4 linked regions of the Callithrix jacchus genome follow. The protein of the gene in region 3 purifies or fractionates together with the protein of the main gene of each other region. This does not show direct contact. Links are inferred from orthologs where the notes say so. Each region holds a gene or a part of one and is shown on either strand. Other genes may lie near its edges.

Evidence for each region.
Region 1: the proteins of RPRD1B (region 3) and POLR2M purify together in Homo sapiens (affinity purification with mass spectrometry; 3 studies listed by BioGRID and IntAct, counting the BioPlex papers as one, with this or other methods). This does not show direct contact. The link is inferred for Callithrix jacchus from reciprocal best matches to the Homo sapiens genes RPRD1B and POLR2M.
Region 2: the proteins of RPRD1B (region 3) and POLR2J purify together in Homo sapiens (affinity purification with mass spectrometry; 3 studies listed by BioGRID and IntAct, counting the BioPlex papers as one, with this or other methods). This does not show direct contact. The link is inferred for Callithrix jacchus from reciprocal best matches to the Homo sapiens genes RPRD1B and POLR2J.
Region 4: the proteins of RPRD1B (region 3) and GPN1 purify together in Homo sapiens (affinity purification with mass spectrometry; 3 studies listed by BioGRID and IntAct, counting the BioPlex papers as one, with this or other methods). This does not show direct contact. The link is inferred for Callithrix jacchus from reciprocal best matches to the Homo sapiens genes RPRD1B and GPN1.

Annotation. Positions count from the first base shown.
Region 1 is NC_133509.1:3,681,351-3,689,022, reverse strand, and holds part of POLR2M (protein GRINL1A), read right to left. Parts: intron 7,234-7,672; coding exon 6,586-7,233; intron 4,013-6,585; coding exon 3,808-4,012; intron 1,801-3,807; coding exon 1,657-1,800; 3' UTR 1-1,656.
Region 2 is NC_133503.1:11,370,647-11,378,749, reverse strand, and holds the start of POLR2J (DNA-directed RNA polymerase II subunit RPB11-a), read right to left. Parts: upstream 5,094-8,103; 5' UTR 5,022-5,093; coding exon 4,969-5,021; intron 2,359-4,968; coding exon 2,269-2,358; intron 794-2,268; coding exon 619-793; intron 39-618; coding exon 3-38; 3' UTR 1-2. UniProt on the Homo sapiens protein: Core component of RNA polymerase II (Pol II), a DNA-dependent RNA polymerase which synthesizes mRNA precursors and many functional non-coding RNAs using the four ribonucleoside triphosphates as substrates.
Region 3 is NC_133506.1:33,507,601-33,515,272, reverse strand, and holds part of RPRD1B (regulation of nuclear pre-mRNA domain-containing protein 1B), read right to left. Parts: intron 4,921-7,672; coding exon 4,745-4,920; intron 2,973-4,744; coding exon of another isoform or gene 2,925-2,972; exon of another isoform or gene 957-2,924; intron 1-956. UniProt on the Homo sapiens protein: Interacts with phosphorylated C-terminal heptapeptide repeat domain (CTD) of the largest RNA polymerase II subunit POLR2A, and participates in dephosphorylation of the CTD by RPAP2. Transcriptional regulator which enhances expression of CCND1.
Region 4 is NC_133515.1:87,405,112-87,412,783, forward strand, and holds part of GPN1 (GPN-loop GTPase 1), read right to left. Parts: intron 7,548-7,672; coding exon 7,510-7,547; intron 4,897-7,509; coding exon 4,818-4,896; intron 4,603-4,817; coding exon 4,508-4,602; intron 1,322-4,507; coding exon 1,276-1,321; intron 648-1,275; coding exon 501-647; intron 1-500. UniProt on the Homo sapiens protein: Small GTPase required for proper nuclear import of RNA polymerase II (RNAPII). May act at an RNAP assembly step prior to nuclear import.

The sequences.
Region 1 (7,672 bases), on a different chromosome or scaffold from region 3:
AGAGGCATCTTCTGGAAAGAAGTCATTTTGTATAGATGTGATTAAGATGCTAATCACATGACTATTTAGAGATTACATTATAATAAATAATCAGATTGCTGAAGAGGAAATCAATCTTAAAGTTACGGTACACCCATGAAATGAAATATCCTAGAGCTATCTAAAAAGCAAAATATTTAATATGGGAAAATGTTGGTAAAACATAAAGCAGACTACGAAGCAATGTACATTATGACTGCATTTTTGAGAATATAAATGTATAACTATGCATGGAAAAACAAGTAAAAACACAAAAGCAAAACGTTAGCAGAGGTTCTCTCTCTAGGCGGTAGGATAAAGGGAGCTGTGCGTACAGACACATGAACTCTTCCGTATTATTCAGCTTTCCAGAAGTAACATGTGGTATTTCATTCTGGAGAAAGAACATCAAATTTTACGCTGTGAAATCATTCACTCTTAGTTGTGGGAACTGAAAATAATGACAATCTTAGGTCGTATACTTTTCACATTTGCTTGTGGGGAATAAGGGTAGAAACGGTAACTACGCTTGGAAGCAATGTGAAGTCTTTCTCAAAAGTAAACAGTGATACTTAATTCAGTCCCAGTAAAACATCACCATTAGCATTTGAGGTTGTTCTCATTAGCTTTTTATTCTTCAACACTTTTAAAGACTCCAATATATTAGACAAAGAATTTTTGATAATATAAGTTAATTTCTCTGGAGACAGCCATATAATCCTCTAAAATGACATGGACGTTTATATATGAGACTGGGGTCTCTGCAGTCTATATATGCCTCTTTCAGCAAGAAAAGCTAAGTACTGACAATTCAATTGTAACAACAACAAAAACAAACAAACAAACAAAAAAGAAAACTGGTTTCCTTAAGAAACATTCATGTTCTGTACATGAACCTATCATCTGTGACAGCAAGGAGCTCAAGTCAGGTGATGCACAAGCCTTCACCTAGCGCAGTTAGCTTGGACTTTTCCTATACCAGATTTGCCTGAAGTAACAGAAGATTATTTAAAAAGACCTCCACCCTCCAGCATCCACTCAAAAAAGAATTCCTTCCTAATCAAAAGAGTTAACATTCTTCCTAAGGAAAGACAGAAAAAAGGACAAACGCATTTAAGCATTTTCCATGCATGTCTTCCTAGGTATTTCACATCCAGTGTCTCAATAACCCCATGCCAACGTGCATACAGCTCTTTAGACTGCTCCCTTCCTTACCCAAAAAAGAAGCGAACTATGTCTTCCTCACAGATTTTAGATGCCTGGGACAAATAAGTATGTCACTGAGAGACATGGAATAAATGCTATTTGATAGGTAAGCATAAGGAAAAAAGCAAAATCACCTCTTTTCATTTGGCGTAAAGAAATAAAGTATGTTCTACTGTATACTAAAATATCAGACCAATACACAACACACGGCAAAATTGTAATACAATGTGGTTAAACACAATATTCAAATATTAAACTTTTCAAGCACACGAAAGCCATCTTCCGAAAGACAAATGGGATTTTTTATAACTACCTTTGTGTGACTTTATAAAATGACTTCCTTCTACACTATCTGACACTGATCTTGATACTAGTTGGAAAGTCTGATGTAAGATGATGACATCTCAACGTCAGTGATTTAGGAGATTATCTTCAGAATTCGTCAGAGGACCCATCGTCATCTTCATCCCTTACTTCTCGGTATCTCCCTGAAGACTCCCCTTCTGGATTATAACTCCGCATTTTAATATTCAGTCTTTCAGCTAATTTTTGCGCAGCGAGCTTTGCTTGCATCTCCTTTAAAACAAAGAGCAAAGCAAAAAGTTACATAGTCACATCTCTTCCTTACAATTTTTCAATGGGAAGTTATTAGAATCAGAAATAAGAGGGGCACTGACATCTCACTGAGTACTGTCTCTGGCAATGCGAGCCTGATGGCTGTGCCCTATCACAGACACAACAGAGCAATGCTTCTAACAGCCACCAGCCTGCTACAGTTGAAGTTACTGACCTCCATTAATAAACAACATTGCACTGAAATACACTCTTCTGTTCAAAAAAATGAGTCATCACCTTAGCACTACAATACTTATAAATTCAGATGCATTGAATATGTGGGCATGTGCACATATATACGCACTCGCCTAACAACTTGAGCTATCAAATGTCAAAAATCACTAACACTGTCTACATTTCTACAACTGACAGAACCTTCTTCCCTAATCACAATCACAGCTTCTAGACTTGAGAACTGAATTTCAATGGCAAAATAAAAATCAAGAAATTAATACTAAGAAGCTATTTCTCGCCACATAAAGTCCTACAGCAACTAGTATTCAACAAAAAGTCCAAGTAAATTTCAGACACTGGCAATGTGCTTACAAACCTCCAGGGACCTTACCACCAACTGACGGCAGCTGGCAAAGTCACTCCTAATTCCGTTCTTCCCTTTTCTCACGCTTTCCTGAGGTTCTTCATGTCCTTCACTTCAAGCCATGAATATGGGTAAGTAAAAGTCGGAGCCATTACTACCACAACCTCTCTCCCAAGAAAACCAATTTCAAGCCGAAGGTTTAATTGAACCTAAAAATATCTTAGAACCGGCATTTAAGAGCCCAGAGACAATTTAAGCAACACTTCCTCAATGCTACGGTCATGACTAGTCAGTCATTTTAATGCACTGAGAGAAAGAAAAATGGGTTTTTTTTAAACAATAGCACCTTGAAAACGCCAATCCATGCCAAGCCTTCTATGAAAAGCCAACGCAGATTATCAGCCTGTTTTGTTGTTCGTTTTTTGGAGACAGGGTCTCACTCTGTCACCCAGGCTGTATAGAGTGCAGCGGTGCAACTGCAGCTCACTGAAGCCTCAACCTCCTGGGCCTAAGCAATCCTACCTCAGCCCCACACGTAGCTGGGACCACAGTCACGTGCCACAATGCCTGGCTAATTTTCTTGCGAAGATACGGTCTTGCTCTGTGCAGCCTGCTGTTATACTAACTGGTGCACTAGTACCTGACTGAAATCAAAATAAGCAACATCTAGGAAATGAGACAGGACAGTCTGCCGGCTAAACAACACTATCCTCCCACTCCTTCTATGCCCTCCCCTGTACTGCAGGAGACAGAAGCCTGGGAACTACATTTCCTCATTCTAGAAGGGGTCTGGGTTAGAGTCCACCACTGAGAAGCTGCCACATGGGTTTTACAAGGTGAAAGGGAGAGACAGGGAGGGATGCGATGCCACGACTATCCTAACAGAACAGGCAGGTGCGTGAGCTTTGAGACCTGAAATTCTACAGCAGTCTCCCCACATCTTCTGGCAAAGCACCACTTTTTTTTTTTTTTGAGACGGAGTTTCGCTCTTGTTACCCAGGCTGGAGTGCAATGGCGCGATCTCGGCTCACCACAACCTCCGCCTCCTGGGTTCAGGCAATTCTCCTGCCTCAGCCTCCTGAGTAGCTGGGATTACAGGCATGCGCCACCATGCCCAGCTAATTTTTGTATTTTTAGTAGAGACGGGATTTCACCTTGTTGACCAGGATGGTCTCGATCTCTTGACCTCATGATCCACCCGCCTCGGCCTCCCAAAAACCCACTTTAATGTTGCAGATTGCTGTTCATCTCTAGCTGTTTCCTGCAGTTCTACCAACTTTGTGACTCTGAAAACCAGTGGTATAGGTCTCAGCTCATGGAAGCACCTAATCCCCTCTATTCCAGTCCATCCTCCTTGAACCTGGAATAAATTCTGACTTATGTAAGCAGCACCCAACAAACAGACGAGAGAAAAACAATACTCTAAATACCTCATAATTCTGTTTCTGCTGTTTCTGAAGTGCCAAAGACTCTTCTATGGAGAGCAGCTGCGCGGGCGTGTGGTGAAGGGGCAGAAGCCGAGCTGCTGTGATGTCATCGAGGTGCTGCTTATCCCTGCGCCGCCGCTCTTCTGCGGAAATGGGAGACCTTCTCTTCTGACCGTCACCAGATGAATCAATTTGTCGAGAAGGTAATCTGATAAAAGGAAAACTTGTGTCACACAGACTATTTTCTTTATTTGTAGACACATTTAAACCATTCACACAAAAGGCCTTTAACCTTAGCAATCAATTCTCCTCCAAAGGTAATAGTAAGCAGTTTCCCAATATTCACTGCGCTGACAAATAGGAGTGTGTTTGCGCATACAGGCTCTTTGCCTTTTCCTTCATCAAACCTTATACTTTAACTGGAGCTTTTCTTTTTTCACTTATTCATTCAATGAACATTTGCAAAAGGGTTTACTGCCTCGTAGAGAGAAATAAACATGTAAAGTTTCAGTGCGATATAATACCAGAGGTACTATGACAGATACCTCAACGAGATACACTGGAACATAAGGAAATGGCCAGTTCCCGTGGGAGACAGGGAGGTTGTCAGAAAAGCTTCCAAGAAGTGACATTTGAACAGTCTTGGAATAATAACTGCTTACCCCTTAAATGAGGAGAGAAGTGCATCCCAGCAAGGGGAGTGAGAGGAAGCACAGCAGGCACAGACACCCAGCTTTTCTGCTATACAGAAAAGACGGCCACAGAGAGGGCTGGGAAGTAGGATGAGCCCAGACTGCAATGAGAAGGTCAACAGAACAAGTTCAGATTTCCATCTTAAAATTTCACTCTGGCAGCAGTGGAGACTGACTGCTAGTTAAACTAGAGGCAGGAAGAAGCCACAGTTGTAGCCCAAGAGAGGGGAGTGTCTTCACTCTGACAGAAGATGAAGAACAATTATACAGATGAAGATCAAGGAAAATACATTACGTAGGTCTTCATGGTGAGCAGATAAGGAGATGAGAAAAATGAAAGATACCTTGGGGGAAGAAAACCAAGAAGAAGGTGGGGACACTATTAGAGAATATGGAAATTACCTTGGAAAGAAACAGGGGTGCCACTTTGTACATGATTAAGCTGAGATGCCAGGGAACACCCAAGTGGTCAAGTGTTATGGCTAATTGGCCATGTAACCCTAAAACTTCTGGAAGATCTGGAGTAGAGGTAGACAAGGGGCAGCCTCCAGCATCCAGGTGATATACGAGGCCAGAAGAGTATGCAGAAGGAAGAGCAGAAAGGCTCAAACGGACACTCCCTAAGCCCATTTTCCAGCCTCCAAGCCACTTCTTACCATGTGTGTAGCCTCTGGACTCCTCAAAGCCCTGCCTTTCCTGCTCTCCTTTAACTACACAGGAGGCTCCCTCTCTCTTAAACTTCCTGCACTCTTGGTAACCCTCATCACTATTCCCTTATCTCCCTCCAACTCCTACATAAATGACCATAATACAGAACTGGGATTAATGTATTCTTTGTTGTATTTATTGGCTAGATGACGGTTCTAGTTTTCTACATGTCATCCTGGAAGTGAAACGTGTACTTCACTGTATACAAGAGATTACCTGACCACATTAATATACTATAGTCCTGATTTTGTATTCAGCAGAAATCACGTTTTCAGGTTAAAATGAATGCTGGGGTTGAGTTAAAGTGTAACAGAAAAGACGCATGTTTTAGGTACTTTTCGCTAGAGGTCTTCTGTTTTTCAGAGAATGGTAGTAGTGATTTAACGGTGCATTTGATGTTATGTACTTGTAAATACAGCACGGGAAGGTAGCAGTTACCCGAGCTGAATGTTACATTTGCTGCAAGTAAATAGCAATTCTTTTCAAAAAGATTTTATTTTTCCTGAAATGTCAGAAATAAATTTATGGCAAGGAACTGATAAGCAGAGTTTCTGCCCATCCTGCATGAATCTATTTTCACAGTTTTCAAACCGCTTCTCAGCTTCCTTCTCCCTGAAACTATTAGTATGTAGTTTAACTCTTTTGCAAGTGTGTAAACCTTGGGTCTTCATCCAGCTCCTAACCTCACTGAAGAACAGGGAGTTTATTACATTATACGTGTATACATTATGGCCATGTTTTTAAACTTGAGATACAACATTAATAAGGCAAAGGAGTTTAAGAATTTTGACTTCACTGTGTCCCCACAACACCTGCTGCTTGCTTACATTTAGTGAGCATGCACATCTCTTCTGCTGGAAAGCCCATGAGCTCCAGCTGCAACTGCCTTCCCCTTAGTTCACAGACTAATCACAGTGAGTACACTTTGATAGTACACTAATCAGAGCTGTACGGTAAAAAATGGTTCCGAAAAAAAGAAGTCATAATAAATTCTCTCTCCAACCCTGTTTATTAGGAAATACCGGGTCACAGCCTGAAATTTAATACTCCCCCATGTGCTATTTAAGACCTTTTCAAAACTAAGTATTTTTCAACATGAATCTTCCACTCCATCCAGGCTGGTCTGTGTTTCCACAGTATGTTCTTTTCTAACAGGCAGTTCTCACACAAAGCCACGGAACTTAGAGCATTCTCCTGACTTTTTTTTAAAAGAAAAGGTTGCCCAACCTTCTCCAACTCCTGTCCTCAAGCTGTCTTCCCACCTCAGCCTCCTGAGAAGCCTGGGACTACAGACAAGCACCATCACAACCAGCTTCTCGTAACTTTTTAGGTTTAACAAATACTATGCCCCTGTTACAGGCCTGTTTCCGATGGTACTTACACATTGGTCTTAAATGTATGCAGCTGGGGCACTGGGTTTTTGGCTCGCGTTTCTAGCACTTCCATGTAATGAGGCTTCTTCTGAGTCGCATGAGAAAGGCCTGTCAAGTTCATGGCACCTGTGCTTTCTTCTGACTGTTGTTCACCCTGGTCTGCAATGCTGATCCCCTGTAACCTGTCAATAAACAGGCTGTCAGAGCTGCTGGAAGTATCTTCTGCTTGACTTGAAACACGATGCTGCGGGTGATGCTCACTAGCTTCAGACGAAGGCGGCGCTCCGTCTCTGTTGCTGGAAGCTGGGCCCTTACTCACTGCGTACTCAACCTCTGGAGTCTCTTCATCACCTTCATGAGTAGGACGTCCAAGTCCCTGGTTTCGTGAGGTTGTTTCAAATGACTTGATGTTATCTACAGAGGAACAGCCAGGAGCTAGTGATGAAGCATCAAGTATCTGGTCAGAATTCCGGGCCTTATCTGTATCGACATCCACCTCTGCAGTGGCTTCTTGCCTTAGCTGACAGTCTAAACTAACAGCATGAAACAGTTCACTTTTTCTTCTAACTTCTTCACGTTCTGCAATGGCAGCTTTCAGTTTGGCAACAGAGTCAAAAATCTTTTTACCTTTGTCGGGCAATTTGCAAATGAATTTTCTGTCAAATGGAAAAGAATACATATATATTACAGTCACGTTTTTAAACTTGACATACAACATTAAAGAAGCTAAGCATTAACTTGTAAGAAAAAAAGCCAATTTTTTAAATCGAATATCTGATTTCTAACTTCTCCAAAATGGGAATAAAACAAATAAATGGCCATTATCCAAAGAGCCCAAAAAACACGGGAATGCAGGAACAGAGAATATATGCCTCATTTGTCTCAGCAAATTAGAATTTCAGCAAAAGTACTTCAAGCATATAATAATCACGTAAGGCATTCCAAGAACCAGCAGTCATTAAATCTCCAAAATGTGAGGATGGGGTTGAGTGTGGGGATGGGTCTATTAGGTCAAAACTACTTTCATCATAATACCAAGATGTTATTTCCCTCTCACTTCCTCACATGGGTACAGTGGAGTTTTCCAGAGGCTAC
Region 2 (8,103 bases), on a different chromosome or scaffold from region 3:
CACTATTCAATTCCTTCCTGCTTGTCTTTGATGGCCACCTGGGAGAGAGGAAGAAGGCGGAGACTGAGCTGGAACAGCTGGGGCAAGGAGGTTGGAAACACAAGCCCAGCATCCCAGGACCAGGGCCTTCCTGGAGGGCAACCATGGGCCACACTCCCCAGGACAGTGGGGCAGCCAACGGCCCTCCCAGCTGGCCTAGCCTGGTCTCAGGCACCACAGAGGCCTCCTGGTGAGCAGACCCCCCCCCCCCCCCCCCACTGAAAACCCCCAAGCTGTGGCTCTTTCCCCTCTAGACTCCCAGGTGCCCTGCTGTTAACAGGCATGGCCCTACCCTGGGGTGAGCTGCCTCCCAGAAAGAGGCCTGGAAGGACCAGACCTTGCCAACCACAGACAAGGGACTCAGAAGAACAGCCCTACATGAGAGCAGGTCCCTGGCTCTGATCCAGCCCACAGCAGGAGAGGAACCCTGCAGCACTACAGAGGTCAGACAGGAGCCACAGGCCTGGAGCCTGCAAAGAAGTCCCTGCTCTTCCATCAGCACCGCTTCTCCAAAGAAACAGCCCAGGGCTGTCACCAGCTTGGCAAAGGGGCCCAGCATCCAGCCCGCCCTGCCCTCACCCGGAAGCGTTCCTCCAGCAGGGACAGCTCGCTGATGAGGTCAGTGATGGCGTTGGTGAAGGCCTCCTGAGGGCTGTAGTCCGGCGTGGTCTGCACTCGGATGATGATCTTGTGCTCCAAGGGGTGGGGGACTTTGTAGCCGGCAAATAGCACCTGTGGGTCCTTTAGCAATTGTCTGAAATCCAAGGAAGACAGTGTGAGAATCTAGCCTTGTGCCCTCTAGGCTCAGGCCAGGCAGAAGCCGGCTCAGAGTGAAAGGACAGGCTTTCTAGCCAAATATTCCCCCCGGTTTTTTTTTCCCCCCCAAGAGTCTTCAAGGAAAGCAATGCTTTCAGGAGGATAGATCATATGGGGACACCCCACCCCCAACTCGGACACACCCTGCATGCATGAAGTTGAAGGGGAGAAGACACACACACCCCCTCCCTGCACCCCTAAGGTTGAAGGACCTGAGCAGGAAACAGCCTCCAGCAACCTCTTCCCACAAAGAACCACAGGGCTGGCAAAGAGATCTCCCAGGCAGTGGATGTCCAGCCAGTGTTCAATGAATCGGACCCAAAAAGAACATCCCACAGCAAATAAAGGCAGCAAGGAGAGGAGGGCCCAGGCTCTGGGCAGCATTGTGTGCTGTGCCCTGGGCACGCAGGGTCTCCTGTGAGCACCACAAAGGACACCCGTGCACAGCTGGCAACACTGGGCTGGAGGAGAGCATAGGGGCTGCACTGGCTGGACTCCGGGGAGGAGTCCTCCATCCCTGTGCCTGGGCACACCTCTCACAGCCTGGGAAAAGCCTGGCTTCACTGATGGCACCAGAGGGAAGAGCCAAGTCTACAAGTGAAATGACAGTCACATTCCTAATCAACCACCTAGCTAGGACTTCAGTGGTGTAAAGGAACACCCATGAACCAAGGCCAGGCACCTGTCTGGCACTGGACAACCACAGAACTCCCCTACCTCTTTCCCTTGTTAAACACAAGTTCTCATCTCTGCCACATACATCTTAAGCGTGCCAGGTGGCACTGAGGTCACAAATAGGGGTGGCATTGGGGGAGCTAATCTTGACTGCTGCTCAGTGCCCCTCAGCCCATGAACACACAGGCCTACTCTGCTGGAACCTGCTCTCACTCACTCACAGAACGTGCACTTAACAGTGAATGGAAGGCTGGGTGCGTGGCTCATGCCTGTAATCCCAGTACTTTGAGAAGCCAAGGCAGGTGAATCACCTGAGGTCAGGAGTTCAAGACCAGTCTAGCCAACATAGTGAAACCCCGCCTCTACTGAGAACACAAAAATTAGCAGGTCATGGTGGCCAGTCCCAGCAGGAGAATCGCTTGAATCTGGGAGGCAGAAGTTGCAGTGAGCCAAAATTGCGCCACTGCACTCTAGCCTGGGCAACGAGCAAAAACTCCCAAAAAAAAAAAAAAGTAAATGCACGTTTGTCTACAGAATAAGCCACTACAGAAGCGTAGCTTATGTGAAGACATGAAGGTCAGCGTCATTTTGATAAAGTACCAACATTACCAAATGCCCAGAGCAAGCCCCCAGAAGGACTTCCTGTAGCTGAGAGATGGAGGAAAATCTTAAAACTTCTGTTTTGCCCAGAGGCGCCTATTAAACATAGCCCCTGAGAGCCTTTGACGGGAAACTTACGATTTAATGATGTTTCCCAGTGTGTGGTCTTCTTTGTTGATGGTGAACAAACAGGCATTGGGTACCTTGGTGTCCTTGTTAATGGTGATCCTAGGAAGACACAGAGGCCACAGATGAGGGACAGGGGCTCCCCTCCGCCCACCCCAAGTCTAAACCCTGCCTCCTTCGGACCAGGTGCAGTGGTTCATGTCTGTAATCCCCACCCTTTGGGAGGCTGAGGTAGATGGATGACCTGAAGTCAGGAGTTCCAGACCAGCCTGGCCAACATGGTGAAACTTTGTCTACTAAAAATAAAACCCAAACTGGGTGTGGTGGTCCATGCTTGTGTTCTCAGCTACTTGGGAGGCTGAGGCAGGAGAATCACTTGAACCTGGGAGGAGGTTGAAGTGAGCCAAGATTGCGCCACTGCACTCCAGCCTAGGCAACAGAGCAAGACTGTCTCAAAAAAATAAAAATGAAAAGCTCTGCCTCCTCCTGAAGACCTTTCTCAATCTCTTCCTCCCATAAAGACCTCTCCAGCCTGATTCCCTACCCCAGGTCTGTGGAACCTTGGCCCTTCTCGGAGTTCCTCCTCTTGTCTTTCCTCTCCCTCTCTTTTAGAAGAGATGAGGTTTTGCTTTGTCGTCCTGGTTGGTCTTGAACTTGCCTCAAGTGATCCCTCCTGCTGCCCAGGCTGGAGTGCAGTGGTGTGATCACAGCTCACTGTAGCCTCCAGCCTTAGCCTCCTGAGTAGCTGGGACCACAGGCGCATGCCACCATGCCTAGCCTGCTCCTTTTTTTCTTTTGAGATGGAGTCTTGCTCTGTTGCCCAGGCTGGAGTGTAGTGGCACAATCTCGACTCACTTCAACCTCTGCCTCCCCAGTTCAAGTAATTCTGCCTCAGCCTCCTGAGCAGCTGGGGTTACAGGCGTGTGCCACCATGCTCGGCTTTTTTTTTTTTTTTTTTGCATTTTTAGCAGAGACGGGATTTCACCATGTTGGCCAGGCTGGTCTTGAACGCCTGACCTCGTGATCCAACTGCCTGAGCCTCCCAAAGTGCTGGGATTACAGGCGTGAGCCACTGTGCCTGACTGCCCCTTTTTTCTAAGGTAGTTTCTCCATGTTGACACCACAGACGTTTTAGGCTGCATGATTCTTTCCTGTGGGGTGCTATCTTGCTGGACAGCAGCAGCACCCTGACCTCTATCCAGTAGATTCCAGTCATAACCCCCTTTGACACCATAAATGTCCCCAATTATTGCCAAATGGTCCCCAGCTGAGAGTCTGCTCTAAAATGAGGCCAAGCCCGGTGCACTGGCTCACACCTGTAATCCCAGCACTTTGGGAGGCAGAGACGGGCAGATCACCTGAGGTTGGGAGTTTGAGACCAGCCTGACCAACATGGAGAAACCCGGTCTCTACTAAAAACACACAATTAGCCGGATGTGATGGTGCATGCCTGTAATCCCAGCTATTCAGGAGGCTGAGGCAGGAAAATCACTTGAACCTGGGACATGGAGGTGGAGGTTGCCGTGAGATCACACCATTGCACTCCAGCCTGGGTGGACAGAGTGAGACTGTCCAAAAAAAAAAAAAAAGGCCAAACTGGCCGGCAAGGGCCAGACCAAGACCTCTGCACGCCAACCTGGGAACAGTAAGAGCCAGTGGTTATGAGGTCTTCCAGGTGCCGAGCTTTAGACCAAGTGCTTGACACAAATTACCTCATCCAATTCTTTTTGAGACAAGATCTCACTCTGTCGCCCAGGCTGGAGTGCAGTGATGCGATCACAGCTCACTGGAGCCTGCAACTCCTGTGCTCAAGCCAGCCTCCCAAAGTGATGGGATTAAACGCGTGAGCCAGCGCACCTGGCCAAATCCCATGTTTAAGAACAGTAATAGACCGGAGGCCGTCACTCACGCCTGTAATGCCTGCACTCTGGGAGGCCGAGGCAGGAGCATCAGCTGAGATTGGGAGTTCGAGACCACACAGGCTAATATAGAGAAACCGCGTCTCTACCAAAAATAAGAAATTAGCCGGGCGTGGTGGCGCATGCTTGTAATTCCAGCTACTCAGGAAGCTGAGGCAGGAGAATTGCTTGCACCTGGGAGGTGGAGGTTGCAGTGAGCCGAAATCGCGCCATTGCACTCCAGCCTGGGCAACAGGAGCAAAACTCCGTTTCGAAAAAAATGAAAAGTAACAAATCCATTTTCCAGAAAAGGAAACAGGGCCTCCAAAAGATCACGGCACTCGTACAGATACAGTCGCTAAGTGGGGGACCCAGGGGCCAAGCCCAAGCTGTCTCTCCCGGGGACTCCTTCAACCAGCAGGCAGCAAGAAGCCACTGCGGCTTTTACACAGGCCGTTGGCAAATCAAAGGACACGGGGGATGGAGGCGGCGGGCGGAAGACAAGAGAGGAGGCTGCCACGTCCCAGAGGAAGAGGGCTATGGAGAGCCAGACACTCTGGGTTCGAATACAAGCCCCGCCACCTCCTCCGTGTCTGGGGCAACTTGCTCCTCCGAGCCTCAGTGTCCTCATCTGCCAAATGGACACACTCGCCACTGCCTCCCGGAACTGGCTTAAATTTGGCCGACACAGGCCGTGCGGACTATCAGGCAAAAGCTGCTTCCCTCCCGGAGCAAGACATGGGCAGGAAACGCCCCCGGAATGCGACAGTCGCAGCCCCGCAAACCTCGGCTCCTCCCAGCTGGCGTCACTTACTTCTTCTCGCCTTCGAAGAGCAAGAACGACTCGAAGGCTGGAGGGGCGTTCATACTCCTGCCGCCGCCGCCGCCGCCGCCGCCGCCGCCGCCACCACTGCCGCGTCCAGACCCTAAGCGTCCGCTGCCGCCGCCTCCGAAGCCCTAGTAAGAGGCTTCTTCCGGATTACTCTGGCGGGTCAAACTAGCGTAGGGACCAGCTCATCGCCCCCTATTGGGCTGGAGGATCTTGCGCAGGAGCGAGAAAAGCCCGAGCGAGGCCAGTACCTCTGCGCCTGCGTCAGTATGGAAGCCCCACCCCCCCAACTCCCACCCCCTCACCCCCTCGTGGCTTTCAACGTGGGCGCTTTTTGGCGCATGCTCAGAGCGCCGGGAGGGCTGCTCTGCCCCTCCAGAGATCTCCTAATCCTGACTGAGTGGAAACCCCAAGCTGTGCCTCTCTGCTCCCCACGACCCTTGATCTCGCTTTGCAACCGTGCACCCCCTTGGAGTGCACAGCAGGAGGCCCCTGAATAGAGAGAATAGAGCTAAGGGGAATGGGCAGCTGCGGCTGGCAGCCGTGAGGGGAGCTGAGGAAGGTCTCGTGGCCAGAGGCAGATCTGTGCTAAGCCCCCTGCCGAGGCTGCCTACACCGACTGCTGTGAGACCCCTGGCTGGGATGCCACTGGCTTGTTAGAAGGGAGGGACAGTTGGGTGACGGATGGGGAAGGAGGCGGGTGTATACAGCAGTGAGAGGGAGCTCGGAGGGTTATGTAAATCTTTTTATATATTATTATCATTTAGAGACAGTGGCTCACTCTGTCGCCCAGGCTGGAGTGCAGTGGTGCCATCATAGCTCAATGCAGCCTCCAACTCCCGGGCTCCGGAGATCCACTTCAGCCTTTCAAGTAGCTAGGACTTGCAGGCACGTGCCATCACACCTAGCTAGTTTTCTTTTAAGAGTTGGGGTCTTGCTGTGTTGCCCAGGCTGGTCTTGAACTCCTGGCTTCCAGCAATTCTCTCATCTCAGCCTCCCAAAGGGCTAAGATTGAGCCACTGCACTTGGTGGATAAGTCTATCTTACCTTTTGGTTTGGCTGTTTTGCAGACTACAGTTTAGCATAAAGGCCCTCCTTGAGACGGAGTCTTACTCTGTCGCCCAGGCTGGAGTGCAGTGGTGTGATATCAGCTCTGTCGCCCAGGCTGGAGTGCAGTGGTGTGATACCAGCTCTGTCGCCCAGGCTGGAGTGCAGTGGTGTGATATCAGCTCTGTCTTCAGGCTGGAGTGCAGTGGTGTGATATCAGCTCTGTCGCCCAGGCTGGAGTGCAGTGGTGTGATATCAGCTCTGTCGCCCAGGCTGGAGTGCAGTGGTGTGATACCAGCTCTGTCGCCCAGGCTGGAGTGCAGTGGTGTGATACCAGCTCTGTCACCCAGGCTGGAGTGCAGTGGTGTGACACCAGCTCTGTCGCCCAGGCTGCAGTGCAGTGTCGACATCATAGCTCACTACAGCCTCAAGCTCCTGGGCTCAATCCCACCACGGTGGGAGGCTGAGGCAGGCCTCCCACGAGGTCAAGTCCTCCTGCCTCAGCCTCCCCAATAGCTAAGACCACAGGCAGACACCACAGCACCCAGTTATTTATTTATTTTTTTTTTACTTTTTGTAGAGATGGGGGGGGGGGGGTCCAACTTTGTTGCCCAAGCTGGTCTCAAACCCCTGGCCTCAAGTGATCTTCTCACCTTGGCCTCCCAAAGTGCTGGGATTATAGGCATGAGCTCCACCCCAGCCACACACGCCATGCTGATTTGTTACACGTTGGCTGTAGTTGCTTTTGTGCTACGTGGCAGAGTGGTTGTGACTCAGAGCTGCATGCCTGGTCCTTTACAGAAAACGTTTGCTGATCCTAATCTCAGGGATTGTGGCTGTGTTGACTTTCCTGCTTGTTTGATTACAGCCCAGACACTGAAGTTACTTATTAACTTGCAGTTTCTATCCCATAGAAAAGAAAACTTCATTAACTGGTTCGTATCTAACATCACAATCTTTGTCTGGGTTGCTTCTCTTAAAATGCTTACTGGCCAGGCACAGTGGCTCATATCTGCAGTCCTAGCTCTTTGGGAGGCTGAGGAGGGAGGATTGCTTGAGCCCAGGAGTTTGACACTAGCCTGGGCAATAGAGCGAGATCTTGTCTCTACTACAAATTTTAAAAATCAGCTGCGCATAGTAGTATGTGCCTGTAGTTCTGTTTACTTAGAAGGCTGAAGCAATAGGATCTCTTGAGCCCAGGACGTCGAGGCTGCAGTGAGCTATGATTGCACCACTGCACTCCAGTCTGGGTGGCAGAATGAGACCCTGTCTCAAAAAACAAAAAAACAAAAAAAAACTTACAAATACATGAAATACATGTACCCAGATTCTCAGAATCATACATGATTCAGAGTTCCCGAACACTTCTGAACTGATGTGTAATTGATCTTTGATGGGTGTTCATTCTATATATGAATCATTACTATTTTTCTTTGTATGTATTTGAAGTTATACTTTGACAAGGCTTTGTGTGGAGGCGGTTGCTGCCAATCTGTTCAGATTTCCAAAGAGGTTGAGAGAAGCAGGCACTGGATGAGCTGGGGCCCCTCAGGGCTTCCCAGGGTGCCTGCTCTGTGGCGAACACCAGCCCCTGTGCTGCAGATAGCTGCCTGGGGGTCCAATCAGATCATCCAGACTTCTGGGACTGGGCAAGGTAGCTCATGCCTGTAATCCCAGCACTTTGAGAGGATGAGGTTGGCAGATCACTTGAGGTCAGGAGTTCAAAACCAGTCTGACCAATATGGTGAAACCCTGTCTCTCTCTACTAAAAATTAAAAAATGAGTCAGGTGTGGTGGTAGGCACCTGTAATTCCAGCTACTCAGGAGGCTGAGGTGGGAGAATCACTTGAACTCAGAAGGTGGAGGTTGCAGTGAGTCGAGATTATGTCACTATCCTCCAGCCTGGGTGACAGAGGGAGACTTTGTCTCAAAAAAAAAAAAAAAAAAAAAAAAAGCCAGGTTCGATGGCTTATGCCTGTAATCTCAGCATTTTGGGAGGCTAAGCCAGAAGGATCATCTGAGGTCAGAAATTTGAGACCAGCCTGGCCTACATGGTGAAACCCCATGAAATCC
Region 3 (7,672 bases):
CACCTGAAGTCAGGAGATGGAGACTACAAGACTAGCCTGGCCAACATGATGAACAGTGAAACCCTGTCTCTGCTAAAAATACAGAAATTAGCCAGCCATGGTGGTAGGCACCTGTAATCCCAGCTACTCAGGAGGCTGAGGCAGGAGAATTGCTTGAACCCAGGAGGTGGAGGTTGCAGTGAGCTGAGATAATGCCACTGCACTCCAGCCTGGGCAACAGAGCAAGAGTCTGTCTCAAAAAGAAAAATAAATAACAGTTAAGGTAAAACTACAGATTCCTGACCTTTTTTCTTTCTTTAATACTTATACAAATAGGCTTTTTCTCACACACACAGAGACACTTTTCCACATGCACTGATCGTGCTAATGGAACATGTCCATACCATGCTTTATTCAAACTGACAAGACAGGAACTCTGCCCAACCCACTCAGACTGTCTTATGAGCTTTCAGTAGACACCTGGGAGTAATGAGTCACCTCTGTCAACCACAAACATACTTTCTCTTTGCTCTGGAAGTGAAGTTGGAAGGCTTTTCTGGCATCTTTGGCCTTTGCTTTTTCAAATAGGCTTTCTCCTATGCCCTCCACACTCCCTAATCTCCCCTTTGGGCTGCTATTTGTGCCTCCTTCCACATGTCTTCTTTTCCATTTCTAGGTTTTTTCATTTTCATGACAGAAACATTACAAACAGATTTTCAGCAGCATTCCTTCCACCCATGCCTGGTGTTTAAGGGCCAACATCATAGGTCAAAGTTAATCATGACACCCAGAAGCGAAAGTCAAAAGCAAAACAAAACAAAACAAAACAAAACAAAACAATGAATGATTATCTCAAAACAAAGCATAATTCTACTTAAAGGAAAAAAGAAAAGTAGCAGAAAAGAGAAACCTACAGAAATTGCTAAAAATGGTTACCTTTCTGTACTAACATATTCTTTACAATCAATCATTAAATCAGGTTTGTTAAGCCATTTTTAATGCAACCTAAAAAAACAAAACCTTTTCTCTACAAAAAAAGGTTACATCAATTGATGGATTTCAGTTACAGAATATTTATTGAGGAACAAATACGTTCCTGGCACTGTGAGAGCACTCAAAGAGCATACAGTCCAGCACTCTGGGAGACCTGCTGAAGGCATTATGGTTTCAGAAACTGCCCATGATTTGATAATTCGCACATTTCTAATAAGCATCTGATCAAATTATTATTAGCATCTTCATTTTTTTCTTGGTCATTTCAATGGAGAAACAGGTCTTACTGACATTTTTCCTTACTGACAACCTTTCCTGAATTCTGTATTAACCCCTTGCTTGCTGCTGTTTCCCCCAACTCAAGTGTAAGCCCTTTGAGGGGAGAAGAGCATCTTGTTCATCTTTGTACATCTGGCTGGCACAGGCTTTGCTGACTCCCTGAACGAAGAGGTAGCTTCTTCAACAGCACAGACCTTAAGCCCCCACTGGTAGTCTCCAGCACCTCCTTCCCACATCTGCTTTGTGTTTTTTCAGATACCTGCCTGCCCCAGTCTAACTGCTCCGATTTATAAACACGCTACTCTTCTTCAACCGCTAGTTCCTTTTACAAAAAGGTTTTATTGCCTGAGAGGAAGTCTGGACTACCTTATACCACAATCAGAACTGCCAAACGCCTCCTTAATCTACATTAGGTACAGTCAGTTGGTTTGGTTTTATGTTCGCCTGTGCTGTTTATGCCAGAATATGATTTCCTTGAGGGAAGAAACATAGTCTCCTCCTTCGAGCTATAATTCCCTCTCCTACATCCCAGGCTCTTGAATCATCACATGCCTTATCCTGACATAAAATTCCTTCCATAAAATCCACCAACATAAAATTCCCGAGTGAAAGAGAAAAAGATAATTATTACATAAAGCAAGATATCAACTTAAGAAGGAAAGGACAAAGAAAACTAAGTATGTTAGAGCTCTGGGAAGAAAATGGACTCCCAAGCAAATAACCACATCTCCAAAGAGTTCTGAGAATTCCATGTATGTATACACTGAAGGCAATGAAAGGATTAACAAAATAAAAGATGTAATTACCATTCTGATTTGGCAGTTTTAAAATGGACTGGCTGTGTTACAAAAATGAGTGTTAAGAAAGCAGGTACTTTATGTACTGCCCCATCACGCAGAGAGAGACTTTCGGACAGTTTGAAGGAACGCATAGTATTTACGCATCTTTCAAGTGGCACATATTTATCAAGTTGTGCCACCACCACAGGGATGTGATGGAACAGGACCAGTCTATTACAGAATGTGAGAGAAAAATCTTAGGTTCAGGAGAGCAGATTGCCTGTATTTTTAGCAAGCATGGATAAAGAAAAGAACTAAAACCATCTCTCAAATCTTATACTGCAAGGCAGGAAGATAACTTGAGGCCAGGAGTTCAAGACCAGCCTGGCCAGTATGGTGAAATCCCGTCTCTACTAAAAATAAAAAAATTAGCTGGACATGGTGGTACATGCGTGGAATCCCAGCTACTTGGGAGGCTGAGATAGGGGGATCGCTTTAGCCTGGGAGGTAGAGGTTACAGTGATCTGAGGTCACACCACCGCACTCCAACAGAGCAAGACTCCATCTCAAAACGAAATACAACAAAACCTTATATTGTATCTAGTCATTTGCTTTCTTAAATGCAGCAAGTTTGGCTCTATTTTTACAATCAATGGTTCCGCTCACGTGCCTGGGAGGCCTGGTTTGAGGTAAAAACCTTCAGTTCAGGCTCTGTACTTTGGTTCCAGTGGGGGAGGCTTTCTGTTCCGCTTCTTCAGCAATGGAATGCCAACACCATTCCACTGAATGAACTGGGCAGAGCAATGCAGACTGGAAAGTTACTGAAGAGATCCAAATCTCTAATCTGTTTCTCCACCTTAATGCCCTCTCGTAGCGTCCAGGAAACCACTGGTTCTATAGAAACCAGAATGATTCCCCAACAATACACAGAGGAGAGTGCAACTGTGGGGAGGGAAAACAGAACAAAGAGTTAACCAGTTCTACCAACCCGGTCTCAAAGACACTGTCCTCTATGGTTGCTTGCCACGTTCCACCCAACAACAGCTGCTCGTGATAATCAATGTCTGACAGATCAGAGAAAGCCCTTAATGTGTCGCCAAGGGGCAGTTCAACAGATGGCATGGTGACTTACAACCAGAATCATTAATTACACTCTCTTATTAGTCCCGGGGCACAGTGCTGAAAATGCTTCCTCAGTGAAAGATGAGCATTTCAGATAAATGACCGTCTGGTACTGCCGTGAAACTCCCTTTAGGATCTCCGGTCAGTGCCGATGTCTAAATCTAAGCCATAGTATTTTTACAGCCCTTCCCATCTTCCATATTCAAGCAGGCTACGAATATGAAGCTCCTGCTACCACTACCCATCACAGTTCCCATAATCATTGCAGGTAAGGCTATGGTAAAAAGTGCCTACTACTCATTTCCCCTCCCAACTCAGACGACTGTGTGGAAAGGCAAATATGATGATCTCAGCCTCTAAGTTAGCTCAATCTTATCTCCTTCTGTGCCAGAGCACATTTCCTGAGCACGGAGGCAACATGGCTCCGTCTTTCATTTACTCTGAGTGGGATTTAAGAAGTATTTCTTGAAACATAACATGACTGGCACTCTAACTCAGAAGCGTCCTCCTTCACAAAACCACTGGCTGCCAACTCTCTTCCGCATCTCTTAAAAAAAGAAGAGCAGACATTCCTGAAAAGGAATTGCAGCGGCCTGGGGCAGCAGAAGTTCCTGGACATTCACACTGCTGGCTCTGTTATCCCCACAGGACCAAGCACGAGGGTGAGCCACCAGGTACTTAATTACAAAGCCAAACATGGTGAGGAAATGTTTCTGAACTCCCTCCCCAAGGTCACTCAGACTGTCCTCAACCCAGGGTAGAAATGAGTTCGTTCTCAACAGTTTGAGAACTGGGGGCTACATGAATACTACTGTGAAATTTAAGAACTGACTACAGAGAGATCATGGAGGCAGACAACTTCTTGGCCTCAGCAGGGATACAAGTCAGAGATAAACCTCCAAATGACGTAGAAGAAAAGCTTTTTAACACTTCCCAAATACTACCAAGCATATTCTTTGGTTTTCACTGATCTGCTCTTCTTTTTGTACCTCAATTTAGAATTTTTTTTAAACATGAGTTAAAATTAAAGCAATCTTTTTTTGAGATGGAGTCTTGCTCTGACACCAGGCTGGAGCACAGTGGCGCAATCTCGGCTCACTGCAACCTCTGCCTCCTGATTCAAGTGATTCTTCTACCTCAGCCTCCTGAGTAGCTGGGACTACAAGTGTGCACCACCACGCCTGGCTAACTTTTGTATTTTTTAGTAGAGACGGAGTTTCACCATGTTGGTCAGGATGGTCTCGATCTCTTGACCTCGTGATCCACCTACCTCGGCCTCCCATAAATGCTGGGATTACAGGTGTGAGCCACTGAGCCTGGCAACTAAAGCAGTATTATGCTCCTAAGGCTGTGATTAAGAGTTCACTGTTTGTTTCCTAGAGTCTAATTTGTTCTGTCCTGGACATATAAAAACATGACTTCAATTTTTAACTTGGTTCAAGTAATTACAGCATCTGATGGATATGCAGAATTCATATCATAAATTTTTCAATGATAAAAATGTAGTTAATCAAAGCATAATAAAAACCTCCTATTGTGGGCCACAGGAAGGGAAACTTGGGCAGTCTGGGTCTGCCTTTCAATGCACTCACCTCCAGCTTTTTCTCCTTCTCTGACAAAACATCTTTCTGATTCTGGGTATACTCCACCAACATCCGAGCCAGCTGGCGACGGTCCTCTAGTTCTGCCGCCAGGCGCCCGTTATATTCTGCTAGTAACAGACATGCTTCATCTACTGTTTTCGAAAGACGTTCAGCTGCCTCTTTGTCTAAGTACAAATGAGACCAAAAAAAGAGAAAATATACAAATCACATAGGTACGATTACAAACATTTCTGGGGGATGTTAATGGTTTCTCTCCCAATATACAGAGTCTGAGCATAAGCCAGAACCTGTGGACAAACAATGGGTTGATTGACCAAGAAATCCAAAGGCATTCACTCTGTCAACAAGACAGGACACTCCTCAATTACCTGAAGCAAGTAAGTTTTACCAGGAGCGGGGGCTCTGCAAGGGCTTTCTAAATGCCTGTTCCTGCAAAAGCTCTCCAGATAAAACAAGCAGAAAGAGATACTGAAGGTCATCCATGAAAAGAATCGTTCCTTGCCTCTGAGAATTTCAAGTGCTTTCATTTATATTACAGTTGGTCCCCTGTATCTGTGGGTTCTGCATCTGTGGATTCAATCAATCATGAATGGAAAATACTCAGACCAAACAACCCACAAATAAAAATAACAATAAAAAACCCCACAATTTAGAAAATACAGAATAAGAACTATTTACATAGCATTTACACTACATTAGCTGTAAGTGATCTAGAGATTATTTAAAGTGTAAGGGAAGACGTTCATAGGTCATAGACAAATTCCACACCATTTCATTTAAGGGCCTTGGGCAACCTTGGATTTTGGTATCCTCAGAAGGTCTTGGAACCAATCCCCCATGGACATGGAGGGACGACTGTATTTCATTAAGCAGTCTTTTTACATTCCACTGGAATAAAAAATAGCATGTACTTATTTCTTTGATGTGGGAACTAAGATCCAAAAAAAATAAAATAAAATACATGACAGGTTTTGATATGCAGTGAGCTGAGACGTTGGGACTCGAAGCCAGATTTCTAAAATGATCTATAGTACTCTATCTCTTAAACTATGTAAGCTTGGACCTGGGGATAAACAGGGATGAACTTCTTCCTGCATTCAACAAAATGTAAGCCTGATAAAGAGGTTTTCAAATGTTTCTGAACATGACCCACAGCAGAAATACACTTACGTAAACACATAGAAAAATAAAAGAAACCAGCTTCATAAAACAATACCTCTTCTTACTATGCGTGCTCTATCTTCTATTCAGTTTTTTAAAAACTGTTGGTCATTACCTACTAGACTGATTTCATACCCAATTACTGGGTTGGAACTCATCCTTTGAGGGTCGGAGGAACTGAGAAGTATAAGAAAGGGTATTTTGGGAAGAAGTGATGAACAAAGAACTGATAGAATTAATTACGTGGCGGTGGTGGTGAAATTAGAATTTTAAATACGTATACCTCATTTTTAAAAGGCCTGAATGGCTCGAAAGAGCAGGTTGGTGCTTTGAAACAAAGAGCACCACAGAGTGCAGCATTTCCAGGGGATAGTTCTGTGACACTCCCTATGGATACAGGATGTCAGAGGTGAGAGTTCACATTCTCCTGAGGAACTAGGTTTTAAGAACTCCCAACACAGTATCTCTGGCAAACAGCCGTCTGGCTTTTAGATACCTGCTTACTGTGAATATTGGGAGAGGAACTGCTGAAGGATTCCAGATTGGGTGTGATGCCAAAGATCAGGCACTTCTACCCTCCACAGGGATGGGAAACACAAGAAAGTCCTTGGTGAAAGGGAAGAAGTGAACAGAATGGAGCACAAAGGAAAGAGACAATCTCAGTCACAGAGGACAAAGGTCAAACTTCTCCTAGCTCAGTGGCTCAGTCCATGAGCAAGCTACTGGGGTGGTGAGGTTGGTTTTAGTTTTGTTATTGCTTGATTGATCATTTTTAAAAAATCGTTAATTCACTAAGATGTTTAGGTACCTAGGGCAAAAAATGGTGAAGAAAATACTAATTTTTAAGATTAAAAAAATCAATTCGCAGCCTTAAGAACTTATACAAAGGAAATAATTCATTTACACAAATAATTACAACCCACAAAAGTAACTTATTATAGTGTAATGAGTCACACAAAATATGCAGTCAAAACGCAGAAGCCAGATGCTCGCTCCAGGGGACCTACCCATGGCTGTCCTCACGCTCTCCTTCACCCATCAGTGAGTGGCTGTGCGCCTCTTTCAGCCAGTTCTCCATGCGCGCACCAGCATCTCATGCCCTCTTGTTTCCTCAATGACTAAACTTCTGCACTGTCCCATGTCTTCCCTACCTCAGCAAATTCTCTCTTCCCTTCCTGAAGAACGCTACTAGCACACAAACCTGCTATGTATTCCAACCACACATCGCTCTCCCACTATTGACCCATTTCCCTGCTCCCTCTTGTAGCTCTTTTGAGAGAAGTGTAACCACCTGCTCTCCTCCTAAGCACACCCCAAACAGGTTTTATGCCCCCCAATCCTCTGCTCGAAACTTTCCAATTAGTTTAACAAATCTAAGTTCTTTTACCTAGCCTCTCAGAAACAGCAGAGAACAAAAAGGACAAAAACTCTCTGCCCTCAAGTTTATATTATCAGGTAGGAAGAGAGTCAATGCACAACATTATGCTTATTTATCAGCGAAAGATAAGAACTACAGAGAAAAACAAGGCAGAGGAGAAAGAGTGGGGCATTAGAAGGGGAGGGCGATCAACATTTTGAAAAAAGTTGTCAGGGTAAGCTTTGCTGAGGTGATACATAAATAAACGACTAAGAAAATGAGAACGAGCCATGTAACTATCTGGGGAGGACCATTTCAGGCAGAGGGGACAGCAAGTACAAAGGCCCTAAAAGGAAAGAGTGACTGGCAAGGAGCCCATATGACTTGAGCAGTGAGTG
Region 4 (7,672 bases), on a different chromosome or scaffold from region 3:
TCCAAAGGAAAAAAGAAAAAAAAAGATATAATTAGAACTGAAAAATTAACAAGACTTATTATCTATTCCCTAACAAACCAAACCAAATCACTTTCTATGATTCTTTTGTCTATGCCTTTGCTTGGGCAATTAACTCGCTCTGCTTTTGCTTACATAAATCTTACCCTTCTTCAAAGCATACCTCTAATGCTACAACCTCCAAAATCGGTCATTTTGATCTGCTGCCTCACCATCAAGCCCAACTTCCAATCATTCTTAAAGTACTTACTACAATATATCGTATGTTTTAATTCTATGTGTAGCCTTCTCTCCCAAATATAAAACAGAAGTTGGGGTCCCTATCTTATTCTTGTACACTCTACAATTTTTAATAAGCAATGATTTAAAAGTTATTTTTCAATAGGTAATAAGCTTCCTTTCTCAGCCAGATTCAAAGCCAGTTCTGTGGGTTAACAGGTAATCTGGAGAGGCCGTCAGTGTAAGCAGGAGAGAAAATTTACCCTGAGTGAGCTGTAAAACTCATCTAGCACCAGGCTCATTGAACGAGTCAGGTTACTGACATATGTAGTCTCTTGATTCAAGGCATCTTGGAAAGCCTCAAAATCCTGCATCCATTCCACTGCAAAGCTGTGGTCAATGATGTCAGTCTGTACCAGAGAGAAGTCAATTATGAGAAACCAGAGATAACAAAGGCAAATTTTATTATTTAAATTAAGTAGTGACAGCAAAGAGCATATCATCCATATTATTTTCTTGCTCTGCTTCTATTTCCCCTCCATTGCAACAAGCCACAAAGAAACACCATCATTGTGTAGTCATCGTAATTAAATGAAGATGTGTATTCTCTTAGTTGACCCTCCACTATCCATTGCCAAGTAACCAGGGCCAGAATGGACACCAGCATATTCCAGGCTCTGAAGTCAAAAGGTCTCTTGCATCCTAGCCATCAACCAACAGGGAAGTTTTGTGTTTTTTAATTGCCACTCCCAGTAGACTAGTTGTCCCTCTCGTAATTACAGTCTTGACTCTGAGGGATAATCTACACACTATGGTTGAGGGGCTACTCTACCTTACCTAAAATAGTTTTAGACAAGAGTTAGTAACAATTACTTATTCAATTTGATTGATTCATTTTCTCAAAGTGCCTATGAATTTGTTTCAGTAAAGCCTGAATCTGGTCTCCAGCATCTGAAATAATCCTCTGACCCACCCAAACCTTCTAACCACAAGGTTCTGATGAAAAATGGTGAATCACAACAGGAAAAATACACTTACTTTATTCATGACCACAATGAAAGGCAGCTTGGTTTTGTATAAGATGCTGAAAACCAAACATTGAGATGTTATTTTAAAAAGCACATAAGCTCTTGCTCATCCAGTGTCGGCATGTTGGGACTAAGAGAAGGGGAATGAGTTCAGAATCTAAAAAGCAGTCATCTTTTTTTTTTTTTTTGAGATGGAGCCTCACTCTGCCACCAGGCTTGAGTGCAGTGCCGCAGTCTTGGCTCCCTCTGCCTCCTGGTTCAAACAATTCTCCTGCCTCAGCCTCCTCAATTGCTGGGACTACAGGCATACTCCACCACGCCCAGCTAATTTTTATATTTTTAGTAGAGACCGGGTTTCACCACATTGGCCCAGATGATCTCAATCTCTTGACCTCATGATCCACCCACCTCAGCCTTCCAAAGTGCTGGGATTACAGGTGTGAGCCACCACGCCCAGCCTATCCATTTTACATAACACTCACATCTTCTCTCCCAACAGGAAAATAACCACCACCCAGAAACAACACACACACTCGCACTCTCATTTGAAGTAATAATGCCCTAGTATTGAACTTGCTGTTTTGTTTTTTATCAAATTGGTATTTTTCAGAGAAGGAAATGAACATTTATTGAATACCGATTACGGGTTGAGAATTTCTTATCTGAGATACTTGGAACCAGAAGTGTTTTGGATTTCAGATTCTGGAATATTTGTAAATACTTATTGGTTAAGCATCCCAAATCTGAAAATCCAAAATCCTCCAATAAGCATTTCCTCTGAGTGTCATGTCAGTGTTCAAAAAGTCTCAGATTTTGAAGCATTTCAGATTTCAAATGTTTGGATATGGGATACTCAACCTGGGTGATCTAGGTACAGCGCTAACAAGCACTTTTATACGTATTATCTCCTTTATGCTTTACAAATGACACGTAAATAGATAAAACTTTTGTTTGTGAATTATACCTCAGTAAGGCTGGGAAAAGAACATCAAAATTTTTTCCAATCTGTAAAGTAATGTTTTTTAAATGTTTCTACCCCCAGCCTTACTGAGGTGTACTTGACAAATAAAAATTGTATAGATTTAAGGTGTGTAACAGGGTATTTTGATGCACAGTTGACCCTTAAACAACATGGGTTTGAACTGAAAGGTTTATTTGTATGCAGCTTTTCTTCCACCTCTGCCGGCCCTGAAATAGCAAGACCAACCTCTTCTCTTAGACTACTCAAAATGAAGATGATGATAATGAAGAGTTTTATGATGACCTACCTCACTTAATGAATAGTTAATATATCTTCCCCTTATTTGCTCTAGCTTCGTTTATTATACGAATACAGTATATAATATATATAATGTGTGTTAATCTGTTTATGTTACCAGCAAGGTTTCCAATCAGCAGTAGGCCTTTAGTAATTATGTTGGGGGAGTCAAAGTTATATTTAGGTCTTCCATACCAAAGGGGCTGGCTCCTCTAACCCCAAAATTGTCCAAGGGTCAACTGTATGTTTATATCATGAAATGATTACCAGTATGTTTAAACTGTATGTTTAACATATTTAAACAGTTAAACATATTTAAACTGTATGTTTAATCATGAAATGATTATAAAAAAATAATTATTTTTTTAAAGAAATGATTACCACTATCAGACAAATCAAATAATTGTCTTTTAAACAATTAATATAAAAATGGGCCAGGGCACAGTGGCTCATACCTGTAATCCCAGCACACTGGGAGACCAAGCAAGGCAGGCAGATCACTTGAGCTCAGGAGTCTGAGACCAGCCTGACCAACACGGTGAAACCCCATCTCAACTAAAAATACAAAATTAACCAAGCATGGTGATGGGTGTCTGTAATCCCAGCTACTCAGGAGGCTGAGGCAGGAGAATCGCTTAAACTCAGGAGGTGGAAATTGCAGTGAGCTGAGATCATGCCACTGTACTCCAGGCCTGGGCGACAGAGTAAGACTCCATCTCAAAAAATATATAAATAAATAAATAAACAATATGAAAATAAAATAATGCTGTCAATATTCAGATTTCTATTTGGATCAATATTTCTTGCATACAACAAAAAGGCACATCCTTTGTCATATTAGAAGAGACAAATGTTGGTGATGGCTTTTGTGTACCCTTAAAATTAAATTCCCTGAGCTTTAATAACTGTCTGCCTTGCTCCTCAGTCTTAATGCACTAATATCCAGTGAAGCATGCCCTTCCTCTGCTAATGGTGCCACATTTGGGGCAAATTTGTGCATTTTAGTTTTTTGAGACAAGGTCTCACTCTGTTGCCCAAGCTGCAGTACAGTGACATGATCACAGCTCACTGTAGTCTGGCCTCCCAGGCTCAAGTAATCCGCCCACCTCTGCCTCCCAGGTAGCTGGGACTACAGGCACATACCACCATGCCTAGTTTTTGTATATTTAGTAGAGATGGGGGTTTGACCATGGTGCCCAGGCTGGTCCCAAATTCCTTGGCTTAGGCAATCCTCCCAGCACAGCCTCCCCAAATGCCGGGATTATAGGCATGAGCCACCATGCCTGGCTACCTGTGCATTTTACAATTATGGATAAATTCTCTTATTCGTGGTATCTCCTCATGTTACAATTTCACTCTATCAGCAATCATTCAGGCCAGAGGACTCTATTCTTCTTCTTCCTTTTTTTTTTTTTTTTTTGAGACAGGGTCTTATTGCCTTAAGCTGGAGTGCAGTGGCACAATCATGGCTCACTACAGCCTCAACCACCTGAGCTCAAGCAATGCTCCCACCTAAACCTCCCAAGTAGCTGGGACTAAAGGGGCGTGCCACCATGCTGGCTAATTTTAATTTTTTGTAGAGGTAGAGTCTTGTTGCCCAGCCCATCTCAAATTCTCAAGCTCAAGCAATCTTCCCGCCTTGGCCTCCCAATTGCTGGGATGACAGACCCAGTCCAGAGGACTCTGTTCTATTTACACTTGGATTTTATTCAACTGGGAACAACTATCAGACAGCTCATATTCATACATCACCTATTTTTGTAACAATAAGGGAGGATGATCAGAGCGTACTGAGAGGGAACGCCAACAGCACATGTGCCTCTTTTCTCCTCTGACCTTCCTCAACTCACAGCCACTCAACTGAATAGCAAATATGAATGAGCATAAATCCAGGGATAAGCAACCAGATTCAAAAACAAAGAGGAAGAAGAAGAGAAAAAGGCCTTGTACCTTGATGGAACACTGCCCACCAATAAGCAATTACCTGCAGGCATAGAGCATGTTGGACATGAAAGTCACTGGGTTGGTACTTCTTGATGTGTCCATTACATAGATGACAACTGTTGGAAATGAGGATGCCTAAAGCCACAAAATAATCAAAGCCTTGGTCAGAGGGCTCACAACCTGTCCTCAAACTCTTTTTCTACCATCCTTAGCAAGGGAAAACCACTTTGGGAAGGGTTTGCAGAGCTTCTACAACTCCCTGTCATATAACATCCAAGGCAATTAAAAATAAATTCTCACTCAGTCTAGCCCCTCTAGCTACTCTCAGTAGCAAGTCCTAGAATACTCACAAGGGCCTCAGTGATAATTGTCCCAGAAGCTGACCAGGTGAATACCTCAATCTGTCCAGGTGTGTCAATCAACACATATCTATGTCAAGAAAGATCATTAAAAAAGTGTTATGTGTGTTATGCTAAAGGATATTCCGTCATGTAAGACGATAAACATCTGGTTATCCAACACTGGAATAAGCTCTTCACACTGCCAAATCTAACTTCCTCCTATTGCCCTCAAACTACACATGATGATCCCCTACACCTTGTTCAATGAACAATATTCACGTTAATGGGCAGGAACAGCAGACCATAAGTTGCTGCAAATGATCACAGGGGAATCTATTATAGTTACAGAAACACAATGCATTAAAAATGAAAGAAGCAAAAATAGGATGTAAATCTCTTGGGAAATATCTGGTTGCTTAGGGTGGGGTGAGTGTGGTGTGTGGAACAGAGGTAGAAAAATGGGAGGAATGGGATAGGGAAGTGCTAGCTGAAGAATATCAGGTTACTTCTTGAGATGATTAAAATTTCTAAAATTGACTGTGGTGATTGTTGCACAATTCTATGAATATACTAAAAGCCACTGAATTATATACTTCAAATGGGTGAATTGTATGGTATGTGAATTATCTCAGTAAAGCTATTTTTATGAAATGTACTGACTTTTTTGTGAATTAATTTGATATAATTAAAAATTATATCAATATTTTTTAATTGGCAAAGAATTTTAATAGACATTTCTACAAATATATACCAATGGCCAATAAGTACATTAAAAAGATGCTCAATATCATTAGTTATTAAGGAAATAAAAGTTAAAAACCACAATGAGATAACAATACCCACTAGAATGGCTATAATCAAAAACAACAACAACAAATGTTGGCGAGGTTACAGAGGAACTGGTTGTGGAGAAATCGTATTGCCAATGGGAATAGAAAATGGGTAGCCACTAGGGACTGAGAGGAATGGAAAATAAAGAGTAATTGGTAATGAGTATGGGGTTTCTTTTTAGGATCATGAAAATATTCTGAAGTTACATAGTAATGATCAACACACAACTCTGTGAACAGATTAAAACAACCATACACTTGCAACGAGTGAGCTTTATGGTACGTGAATTATATCTTGTTTCGTTTTGTTTTTTTGAGACGGAGTCTTGCCCTGTCACCCAGGCTGGAGTGCAATGGCTCAATCTCAGCTCACTGCAACCTCCACCTCCTAGATTCAAGCAATTCTCTTGCCTCAGCCTCCCGAGTAGCTGGGGTTACAGGTGCACACCACCACACCCTGCTAATTTTTTGTACCTTTTTAGTAGAGACAGGGTTTCACCATGTTGGCCAGGCTGGTCTCAAACTCCTGACCTTAGGTGATCCGCCCGCCTTAGCCTCCCAAAGCTGGAATTACAGGCATGAGCCACCGCACCCAGACGAATGATATCTTAATAAAGCTGTTGTTTAAAAAAAAAAAAAACCTCTAGGCCAGGCTTATTATAGGTGGCTCACACCTATAATTCTAGCACGTTGGGAGGCTGAGGCAAGCAGATCGCCTGAGCCCACAAGTTTCAGACAGGACTAGGCAACACAGCAAAACCTCATCTCTACAAAAAACACAAAATAGCTGGGAATGGTGGCTCACACCTGTAATCCCAGCACTTTAGGAGGCTGAGGCAGGCAGATCACTTGAGGTTAGGAGTTCGAGATCAGCCTGGCCAACATGGTGAAACCCCATCTCTACTAAAAATACAAAAATTAGTCAGGCATGGTGGCAGGCACCCGTAATACCAGCCACTTGGGAGACTGAAGCAGGAGGATCACTTGAACCTTGGAGGCGAAGGTTGCAGTGGGCTGAAATCATACCACCGCACTCCAGCCTGGGCAATAGAGCAAAAATTAGATTTAAAAAAAATTAGCCAGGTGTGGTGGATCATACCTTTAGTCCTAGCTACTTGGGAAGCTGAGGTGGGAGGATCGCCTCAACCAGGGAGGTAGAAGCTGCAGTGAGCTGAGATTGCTACACTCAACTCCAGCCTGGGCGACAGAGCAAGACCCTGTCTCAAAACAAACAAAACAAAAGCTACCTCCAGTACCCCATCTTTGTAAAAATATCCATTCATCCTTTTAACTATGTATGTAGAATTGTGGAATGCTAGTCACTGAACAATGGCATTACTTGTAGTGGAAATCAGAGCGATAGTTTTATCTTGTAAATATCATGTATGGTTTGAATTTTTATAAATTACTTTTTTTAAAAAACCTTGAACAATAGCTAACTGTGTTGGTAATGACCATAAGAACAAATATTTCCTATTTTGATACTTTTTAAAGTAAAAAATTTTCTGTGAACCATGTGGACTATATTTATTTAAATAAGACTAGAAAGGTATTTCAGAGACTTTAATGGCAACAAGCATGGTTTCCCAAGAGAAGGCAGGTGGACAACTGAATTTAGACAGTCTCAAAATACTTCCTAAGAAACCATGTAAATTGAGGATCAAAGCAATTGAGGATGGAATGATATTAAATTTAGATCTATACGCTAAAGCGTCTTAACGATTTTCTTGCTGAACTTTTTTTTTTCACTCCTAATGGTTTCTCCTCAATCTATACCCTTTCAGAGGTTGATGGTATCCCAGATCCTCCATTAGGCCTAGAAATATGTCAACTACAGAGTAATAAATGGGTGTTAAACTGAAATCACTTACTTAGACACGTTCTGGGCCTTCTCAATAAATTGCATCACCTAAAAGAAAAAGATGTCAATGACAATAAATTCCGATTTCAGCACAAAATCACAGGGCCCTCTCCAGGGTGGCATACCTCACAGGCACTATTATCTACTGAATCCCTCAATCACCTACTGAATAT